2 linked regions of the Macaca fascicularis genome follow. The protein of the gene in region 1 binds, or shares a complex with, the protein of each later gene. Links are inferred from orthologs where the notes say so. Each region holds a gene or a part of one and is shown on either strand. Other genes may lie near its edges.

The links.
Region 2: MED7 (region 1) and MED20 share a complex: the UniProt entries of both Homo sapiens proteins name them as parts of the mediator complex. The link is inferred for Macaca fascicularis from reciprocal best matches to the Homo sapiens genes MED7 and MED20.

The regions. Positions count from the first base shown.
Region 1 is NC_088380.1:163,931,756-163,936,033, forward strand, and holds the start of MED7 (mediator of RNA polymerase II transcription subunit 7), read right to left. Parts: upstream 2,953-4,278; 5' UTR 2,894-2,952; exon of another isoform or gene 2,498-2,893; intron 1-2,497. UniProt on the Homo sapiens protein: Component of the Mediator complex, a coactivator involved in the regulated transcription of nearly all RNA polymerase II-dependent genes.
Region 2 is NC_088378.1:129,647,635-129,652,104, reverse strand, and holds the start of MED20 (mediator of RNA polymerase II transcription subunit 20), read right to left. Parts: upstream 2,840-4,470; 5' UTR 2,739-2,839; coding exon 2,725-2,738; exon of another isoform or gene 2,102-2,724; intron 1-2,101. Other genes in the region: BYSL (bystin), read left to right, coding at 3,281-3,548. UniProt on the Homo sapiens protein: Component of the Mediator complex, a coactivator involved in the regulated transcription of nearly all RNA polymerase II-dependent genes.

The sequences.
Region 1 (4,278 bases):
CAGGAGAATGGTGTGAACCCAGGAGGCGGAGCTTGCAGTGAGCCGAGACTGTACCACTGCACTCCAGCCTGGGCGACAGAGCGAAAATCTGTCTCAAAAAAAAAACAAGAAAATCTTCTGGATTCCACACCCTTCACCATTTATGCCCCCATTTCTCTACTCCTCCATAACCAAACTACACATGTTGTCTCCCAATCTCGTATCACAATCACTTTTGCTTTATGTTACAGATTGATTTCCAATAGCAAACACTTACTTGTATCTCTCATAAACACTGACAAAATTAACACTGCTAAATACTAAACACATGGTATTATCCAAAGTTCCTGAATGAAATGATTCAGTTCCATATCCTTTTTGTCACAGTAAACTATGCAATTTTATATGGACACATTAACTTTTTTTTTCTTTTTTTTGAGACGGAGTCTTGCTCTGATGCCCAGGCTGGAGTGCAGTGGTGCGATCTCAGCTCACTGCAACCTCCGCCTCCTGGGCTCAAGCAATTCTTCTGCCTCAGCCTCCCAAGTAGCTGGGATTACAGGCGCACACCACCATGCCCGGCTAATTTTTGTATTTTTAGTAGAGACAGGATTTCGCCATGTTGGCCAAGTTGGTCTCTTAATTCCCCACCTCAGGTGATCCGCCCACCCTGGCCTCCCAAAGTGCTGGGATTACAGGTGTGAGCCACCGCGCCCGGCCTGTATGGACACATTAACTTCCCTACAACTATCACAGAAATTTCAAACCCCAGGTTCAAACCCAGTATCTTCTATGGCCATAATAACCTCTACTTACTCTACCTTAAGCCTAGATATACCATCCAATGAGAAGATTCTGAAGTGCTCCTTTACACTGGTATTATCAAAGTTTCAAGATATAACACCCTCTAACATCAGGTGGGGCAAGTATTCTATTAGAAGCAATATTATACTTAGAATTCGTGAGGTACTAAGGGCAGGCATGGTGCAGCCCTGAGTTTCCACCATGCCACAGTAGTGCATAGGATGATGCAGCCTCGACCTCCCAGGCTCAAGCCATCCTCCCACCTCAACCTCCCAAGCAGCTGGGAGTACGAGGCAAATGTCACCACGCCCAGCTAATTTTTGTATATTTTGTAGAGACAGAGTTTTGCCATGTTACTCCGGGTGGTTTTGAACTCCTGAGGTCAAGCAATCCTCCTGCCTTGGCCTCCCAAAGTGCTGGGACTACAGGTGTGAGCCACCACTCCCAGCCAACATTTTAAAACTTATAACATAAATTCAGATTACAGAAAAAGTGCATGCATATACAAAGAACACTTCATATTCTTCACTCAGATTCTCCAAATGTTAACATTTTCCTTCATTTGCTTTATTGGTTTCTCATTCCTTCACCCCTGAATACTTCAATGTGTTTTCCCAGGACAAGAATGTTTTCTTCTACCCACAGCACAATTACCAAAATCAAGGAATTAACATTGATCTGGTACTTCAAAACACAATTTTTGACACCTTACGTTTCATTCCACTCAAACCTTTTTAGGTGACGAGTGCTGCTCTGTACTTTCCTACACGATGTGCATTCCTGTACTTAGGTTGTCATTTTCCTAAGGCAACTACGTGACAGATACTGTTGTTTTATGGCCTCTCTAACATAATCTTCATAACAATTCTATGAATTAAGGTTGTTTGTTTTGTTTTTTGAGACAAGGTCTCAATCTGTCTCCCACGCTGGAGGGCAGTGGTATGATCAGGGCTCACCGCAACCTCTGCCTCCCGGGTTCAAGGGATTCACCTGCATGACCCTCCTGAGTAGCTAGGGACTACAAGTGTGTGCCACCACGCCCAGCTAATTTTTTATTTCTCGGTAAAGACAGGTTTTCACCATGTTGGCCAGGCTGGTCTGGAACTCCCGACCTCAAGTGATCCGCCCACCTCGGCCTCCCAAAGTGCTGGGATTATAGGCGTGAGCCACCACAGGGTCCCATGAATTAAGTTCTATTATCAATTTCATTTTAGAGGTGAAGATCCCAAGTCTCAATGAGGGGAAGTGTTGCCCCAGATCAAAAAGTTAATAAATGGTACAACAGGAATTCTTATCCCAGGTCCCTTTAGCTCCAAAGGGCAAGCTCTCTTATATCTCTAAGCCGTGAAGCATCTAATTGTACAATTAGAACTTGCATATTACAAAAATTATATTTTTCTCTACTGTCTCTCTAGATGGAACTTTTCAAAGGCGATGGAAGTCTTATTTTAATAAAACCAGAGCAAAGCATCATAACTGGTTCTCAGACTCAAGATCCAACATCTAGTGTTTGTTCTGGGGGAGAAGGCGCCTCACCAGAAGACGACAGATATTCCAGGGTCCCAGCCCCAGAGATTTGATTCATTCTGTCCACTGTGAATGGGCCCTGGTATGTCGCTTTAAAAACCTCTCCAGATGGACCTGACGATTAGGCTTGGTTGGGATCTACTGCCCTCGCCTGCCCCCGTATCTCAGCTGTTTCACAACTGCTCCCAGAAGAAGGAAGGGCAGGGAGGGCTACTCTCATGTTACAAAGGGCCAGAAAGGGCAAATAACTCGCCCAAGGCCACACAGCCTAGAAAAACAGCGGCGAGGGGACTAGACACCACGTCTCCCAACCTCCACTCCGGCTCGGCGTCCCCACACGGAGGAAGCCCTGGGACTGCAGCGCTAAGAGCCCCCTCCTCCAGGCTGTCCATCCCGAGACCTCCACGAGCGGCGGGGAGGCCGCGCTCTCGGAGAGACTCGGGACAGAAAGACGAGAGAGCGTCTTCGGAGGCCGAACTCCTCCATGCCTCCCCAGTTCCCAGCCCAGCACAGAGGAAACCGCGGGGTCCGGAAGAAAAAAACGCACACACGCAGGGGCCCCAAGCCGTTGCCGCCCACTCACCTCAACTCTGGCTTTACACTGGTAGCCGCCTTCCCCCTCTGCAGCCGAAACCAATTTCCGGTCTCCTCCTGGAAGAAGCCACCGACTCTGTCTTTGATTGGCTGTAGGAGCTGTCCTTTAACGAGATTCTAGATCCGCCTCAGACCGATCGCTCGCTATTGCGCCTGCGTATATTCGACTCCTGCCATCGCCACCCCTTTTACTGACTTTTAAAAGTAGTAAGTGAGGGTTGTTTCTTCGTTTCTTTAAGGCATAAAATTAAACAAGACATCTTATTGCTTTATTTTTTATAGACCCCTTATTGACTAGAAAAAATCTTATATTTTAATATGTAACATGCTCTTGTAAGACTTCCATGAATTTAGACATTTATGACGCGAAAATAACCTCCCAAAGAAAACCTAGCAAAGGTTGTTCGTGTGTTCCACCCGCTGCCCGCATTACAACTCTTCTGCTGACAGTCGCAGCTGGTAGTTCCATTCCTTTTGTCTTTTCTTTTTTAATTTAACCCATACAATGAAGACATCTTACATAAAAATTCGAAAATACAGATATGCAGGGTTTTTTGTTGGTTTATTTTGTTTTATTTTTTTTTTTTTTTTCTTTGAGACGGAGTGTCTTTCGCCCAGGCTGGAGTGCAGTGGCGCGATTTCGGCTCGCTGCAACCTCTGTCTCCGGGGTTCAAGCGATTCGCGTGCCTCAGCCTCCCAAGTAGCTGGGATTACAGGCATGTGCCACCACACCCGACTAATTTTTTTTTTTTTCCTTTTTTTGTATTTTTAGTAGAGACAGGGTTTCACCATGTTGGTGAGGCTGGTCTCGAGCTCCTGACCTACAGTGATCCGCCCGCCTTGGCCACCCAAAGTGCTGGAATTACGGGCGTGAACCACGTAGCCCGGCCTCCCCCATTTTAATTCCCCCGCACATATAAATTTATTTCCTGAAGAAATTCATCCTCACTGCTGACCCCAATATGTCCTGCACCCGTGACTTCCAATGCTTGTTCCCAGTCCTCGTTTTACTCCCTCTGTCAGCAGCATTTGGCACATTTGATTATTTGGATTGCCCCAGGACTCAGTTCTCCAACCACTTCTCAGTCAGATATCACCCAGATACATGCAGGCCCTGGAACACCGTTTCCTCTGCACTTCAGACCCTCATATCCAGTGGTGACAGACATCTTTACCCCGTTGCACTTTACTCAATTGCAAATGTTCAATCTAAGGAATCACCTTTTTCTCCTTTCTCCCATACCCCACCGAAACTACCATACCAGCCTTTTGCATTAGCTCTATTTAAAAATAAGTAAATAAAGTTCCAAATATGACTGACCACCGTCCCTACTGGTATGGTCCTATGCCATGCTGCCATTATCTCTCATCTGG
Region 2 (4,470 bases), on another chromosome or scaffold:
TGTATAGGGATGTAGTGCCTGTTAAAACATTTTTAAGGAAAAGATCAATTTAAAAAATTAATAAACAATAGTACAGGCAGTACTTAGCTATATAGAAATCAAGAAAACAGTCATAGATGACATTGCTTTATGATCAACTAAATGAATCTATTAGGGTAGAGTCCTTCTGTTGCTAAAAATTGTCACTACTCTATCAGAAAAAGCACTGATAAACAATGTTGCTAATGTGCCTTATGTTGAAATATAAAAGAATCCCTAAACTGACGCTACAAGGGACAGAAGTCCTAGGATTCTGAAAACGTTGATAAGGGTGCCAACAGAGAGCCCTTGCCCTGGAGCTGCCTTCTCCATTTATTTATTTATTTATTTATTTATTTATTTTTTTTTTTTTTGAGACGGAGTCTCGCTCTGTCACCCAGGCTGGAGTGCAGTGGCCGGATCTCTGCTCACTGCAAGCTCCGCCTCCCGGGTTTACGCCATTCTCCGGCCTCAGCCTCCCGAGTAGCTGGGACTACAGGCGCCCGCCACCTCGCCCGGCTAGTTTTTTGTATTTCTTAATAGAGACGGGGTTTCACCGTGTTAGCCAGGATGGTCTCGATCTCCTGACCTCGTGATCCGCCCGTCTCGGCCTCCCAAAGTGCTGGGATTACAGGCTTGAGCCACCGCGCCCGGCCTGCCTTCTCCATTTAAAAAGCAGGGGTGGCTGGGCACGGTGGCTCGTGTCTGTAATGCCAATACTTTGGGACACCAAAGCAGGAGGCTCGCTTGAGTTCAGGAATTCAAGACCTGGATGTACAAAACAGCAAGAACCCATTTCTATTTATTTAAAAAAGAGCATGGGGTTCCAGGGTTCTACGCTGCATCCTTTCTATTTCCATCCCTCACATATCTTGCTTCCATTAAGGAACACAGGAGGATCATGATGTGAACTGTGGGAAACAAGAGTGCAATCACTGAGAAACCTGCAAGAACCTGGGCTACCAGGAGGAAAAGTATTTCCCCTACACATGCTTTTGTATGAGAAGCCTATAGCCACTGGCTTCAGATATCCTGGCCTCTGGGTTTCTCCCACGGGGAAAAATGCTCACATCTACTGAGATAAGAAAAAAATGTTCTGGGACCTGGCACCTTACAACTAACGCCTCCACAAGCACTGGACCCATACCTTTCCCTGCTACCTCATCTTCTTCCAACGGAGACTTAAAACCTATGAAAGATAAAAACTCCTCTGAAACTAGACTAACCATGGAATTAAACATAGTGGGAAACGGGTCCTAAAGAGATAAAGTGCCTGGAACCATGATCTCCTTATTTTCAATAGCCTCTTTTTCCCTCTGGACCCAAGATCTTAAAATGGGCAAATTAGAAACAGACACAAGCTGGTCTAACTGCATTTGATGGCTGAGGGAAGGGTAGGCAAAAATCTTGGCCGGTCGCGGTGGCTCACGTCTGTAATCCCAGCACTTTGGGAGGCCGAAGCGGGCGGATCACCTGAGGTCTGGAGTTCGAGACCAGCCTGACCAACATGGAGAAACCCCGTCTCTACCAAAAATACAAAATTAGCCGGGCGTGGTGACGCATGCCTGTAATCCCAGCTACTCCGGAGTCTGAGGAAGGAGAATGGCTTGAACCCGCGAGGCGGAGGTTGCTGTGAGCCGAGATCGCGCCATTGCACTCCAGTCTGGGCAACAAGAGCGAAACTCCGTCTCAAAAAAAAAAAAAAGAAAGAAAGAAAAAGAAATAAAGAAAAATAAAGAAAATCTTTAAAAATACTGTTTCCTGATTGCTTATAACACACTCCCTCTAACCCTGTCTGCAGGTGGGTCACAGTCCAAAGACCCTATTTCCAACCCTGACGTCCCATTGCGGGCAGTACTATGGCCTCACGGGAAGGAAAATAAATCTAGAAGGGAATGAGGTACACAACCATTGATAGGTTCCTGGGATAAAAACTTTGCTTTGTCGGCCGGGCGCGGTGGCTCAAGCCTGTAATCCCAGCACTTTGGGAGGCCGAGACGGGCGGATCACGAGGTCAGGAGATCGAGACCATCCTGGCTAACACGGTGAAACCCCGTCTCTACTAAAAATACAAAAAACTTACCCGGGCGAGGTGGCAGGCGCCTGTAGTCCCAGCTACTCGGGAGGCTGAGGCAGGAGAATGGCGTGAACCCGGGAGGCGGAGCTTGCAGTGAGCTGAGATCCGGCCACTGCACTCCAGCCTGGGTGACAGAGCGAGACTCCGTCTCAAAAACAAACAAACAAACAAAAAAAAAAACAAAAAACTTTGCTTTGTCGACACCAGCCTGGCCAATATGGTGAAATCCCATTTCTACTAAAAATACAAAAAATAGCCGGGCGTGGTGGTGGGCGCCTGTAGTCCCAGCTACTCGGAAGGCTGAGGCAGGAGAATCGCTTGAACCCAAGAGGCGGAGGGTGCAGTGAGCCAAGATCGCACCACTGCACTCCAGCCTGGCGACAGAGCGAGACTCCGTCTTAAAGAAAAAAAAAAAAAAAAAAAAAAAACTTCGCTTTGCTTTCCCGCCTTCCAAGAGGAAGGGGCGCATCTCCGAGGAAACAAGGCCGGGGAACCCGCGGCTCGCACGGCATCCTCTCATCCACACAACCCGAGGACAGCTCCCAGGGGACGGCGGACCACGGTCAAGGTCCTCTTTTCGGCCCTTCACAACTCCAAGCTCCGCCCTACAAAACCCCCTGCAGTCCTACCAAGTCACTCCCATGGCGTCGGGCCAGGAAGGCGGCCGGATCACACGGTAGAAACGCAGGGTTCCCTATCCGCCCACAGAAACTGCTTCAGTTCCCCAACACAACCTTCGGTCTCGGAAGAGACTCCGGAAATACGTAAAAACAGAGCGCCGGGTCCACGCCTTCCCCAAGGAGTGGGGCGGGTCTCAGGGCCCCTCGGTGACACCTCTAGTGACATCATCTGCGGATTCCCGCCCACAGGTTTCTAAATCCAGACATTCTCGTTTGGCTGAGCACTCTAGGCCTAGACCCATGAAGCTAAGAGCGACACTCAAAGACTGCACTGTTGAGAGAAGCTAACGTTAAAGGCTGTAAATATATTGGGGAGTCCAGCACCGGAACCCGGGAGCTCTTTTAGTGGGAGGGGCGGCGCTGATGGCGCTTCTGGCCTCCGAATGCTAGGGGGCGCTGTGATCGCCGCGTGGCCTCTTGAGAGCCGGGAGTCCACCGCGCAAGCGCAATCTGGCTTTTTCGCCGTCTCCACGTGCGAACCTCCGCGGCAACGTTTTCGAGAAAAATGCCCAAATTGAAGGCGGCCCGTGGGGTCGGGGGTCAGGAAAAACATGCGCCCCTGGCCGATCAGATCCTGGCTGGGAATGCGGTGCGGGCAGGGGTCCGGGAGAAGCGGCGGGGTCGCAGGACCGGAGAAACGGAGGAAGAGTATGTGGGACCCCGGCTGAGCCGGCGGATTTTGCAGCAAGCACGGCAGCAACAGGAGGAGCTCGAGGCCGAGCATGGGACTGGGGACAAGCCCGCGGCGTCGCGGGAACGCACCACGCGGCTGGGTGAGTGTCTGGGATGAGATCCGAGGAAGACAGTGGCCAGTAGTGGGGCGGGGTGGACAGCTAAAAAGTGTCTGGCAGGGGAATTGCTTCGAGTCAACAAAGGGTCCGTATTACACTTGCAAAAGTAATGGAATGGGAGACTGAACCCTGTTCAGAGCCCTCCGCGTCCACTCCTAGTTTTAGGCACTCCCTTCTACACATCCCCTAAGTTAGGCCAACAGTAATCGCTCGCTCCACCCTAGCATTTATCCATTGGTTTTGTAAATATATATGGGATACCCACTACGAGCTTTGTACTATGCTCGGAGTTCTATCGAATGTTTGGGTACAGAAGTAAACAACATAGGCACGTCTGACTTAAGGACCTTACAGTCAAGCCCAGTAGAGAGTCAATTAAGTAGACTCTTAGAATAATATTTTTCTATGATAAAGTGTCGCTTCCCTGGTAACAATAGCATTGGTCTTGAGAAGCTTCTCCGATTGCAGCAGGACCTTTTAAGTTGAGAACTGAAAAACGAATGGGAAGTGTTATGAGCAGAAAACACATTGTTTAGCAGCCAAAGAGGGAGAGAGATGAAAGACGTTTGATATTTTCTCGCTAGGGAGGGAGTGTTGACCTCTGAGATGCTTCATCCGTTTTCCAGATCTCATCTAAAGCAATATTTGACGCAATTGAATAGTGGCCTCCTGGCCACAGTATCCTTACTTGGGTTTTAAGACATCAACACTCCTGTTTTACTGCCACCTCACTTCTCAGTATCCTTGACTGACTCTTATTGCAACCTCTTATCCTCAGTCCTCTGACCTCTTCAAATATTCTCTGGTGCTGGCAAGTTTCGTGGTTTAAATACCATCTCTTGGGTGACTACTCCTAACTTTATAGTCTAGCCCTGACCTCTTCCATGAAATCCATATTCTTATA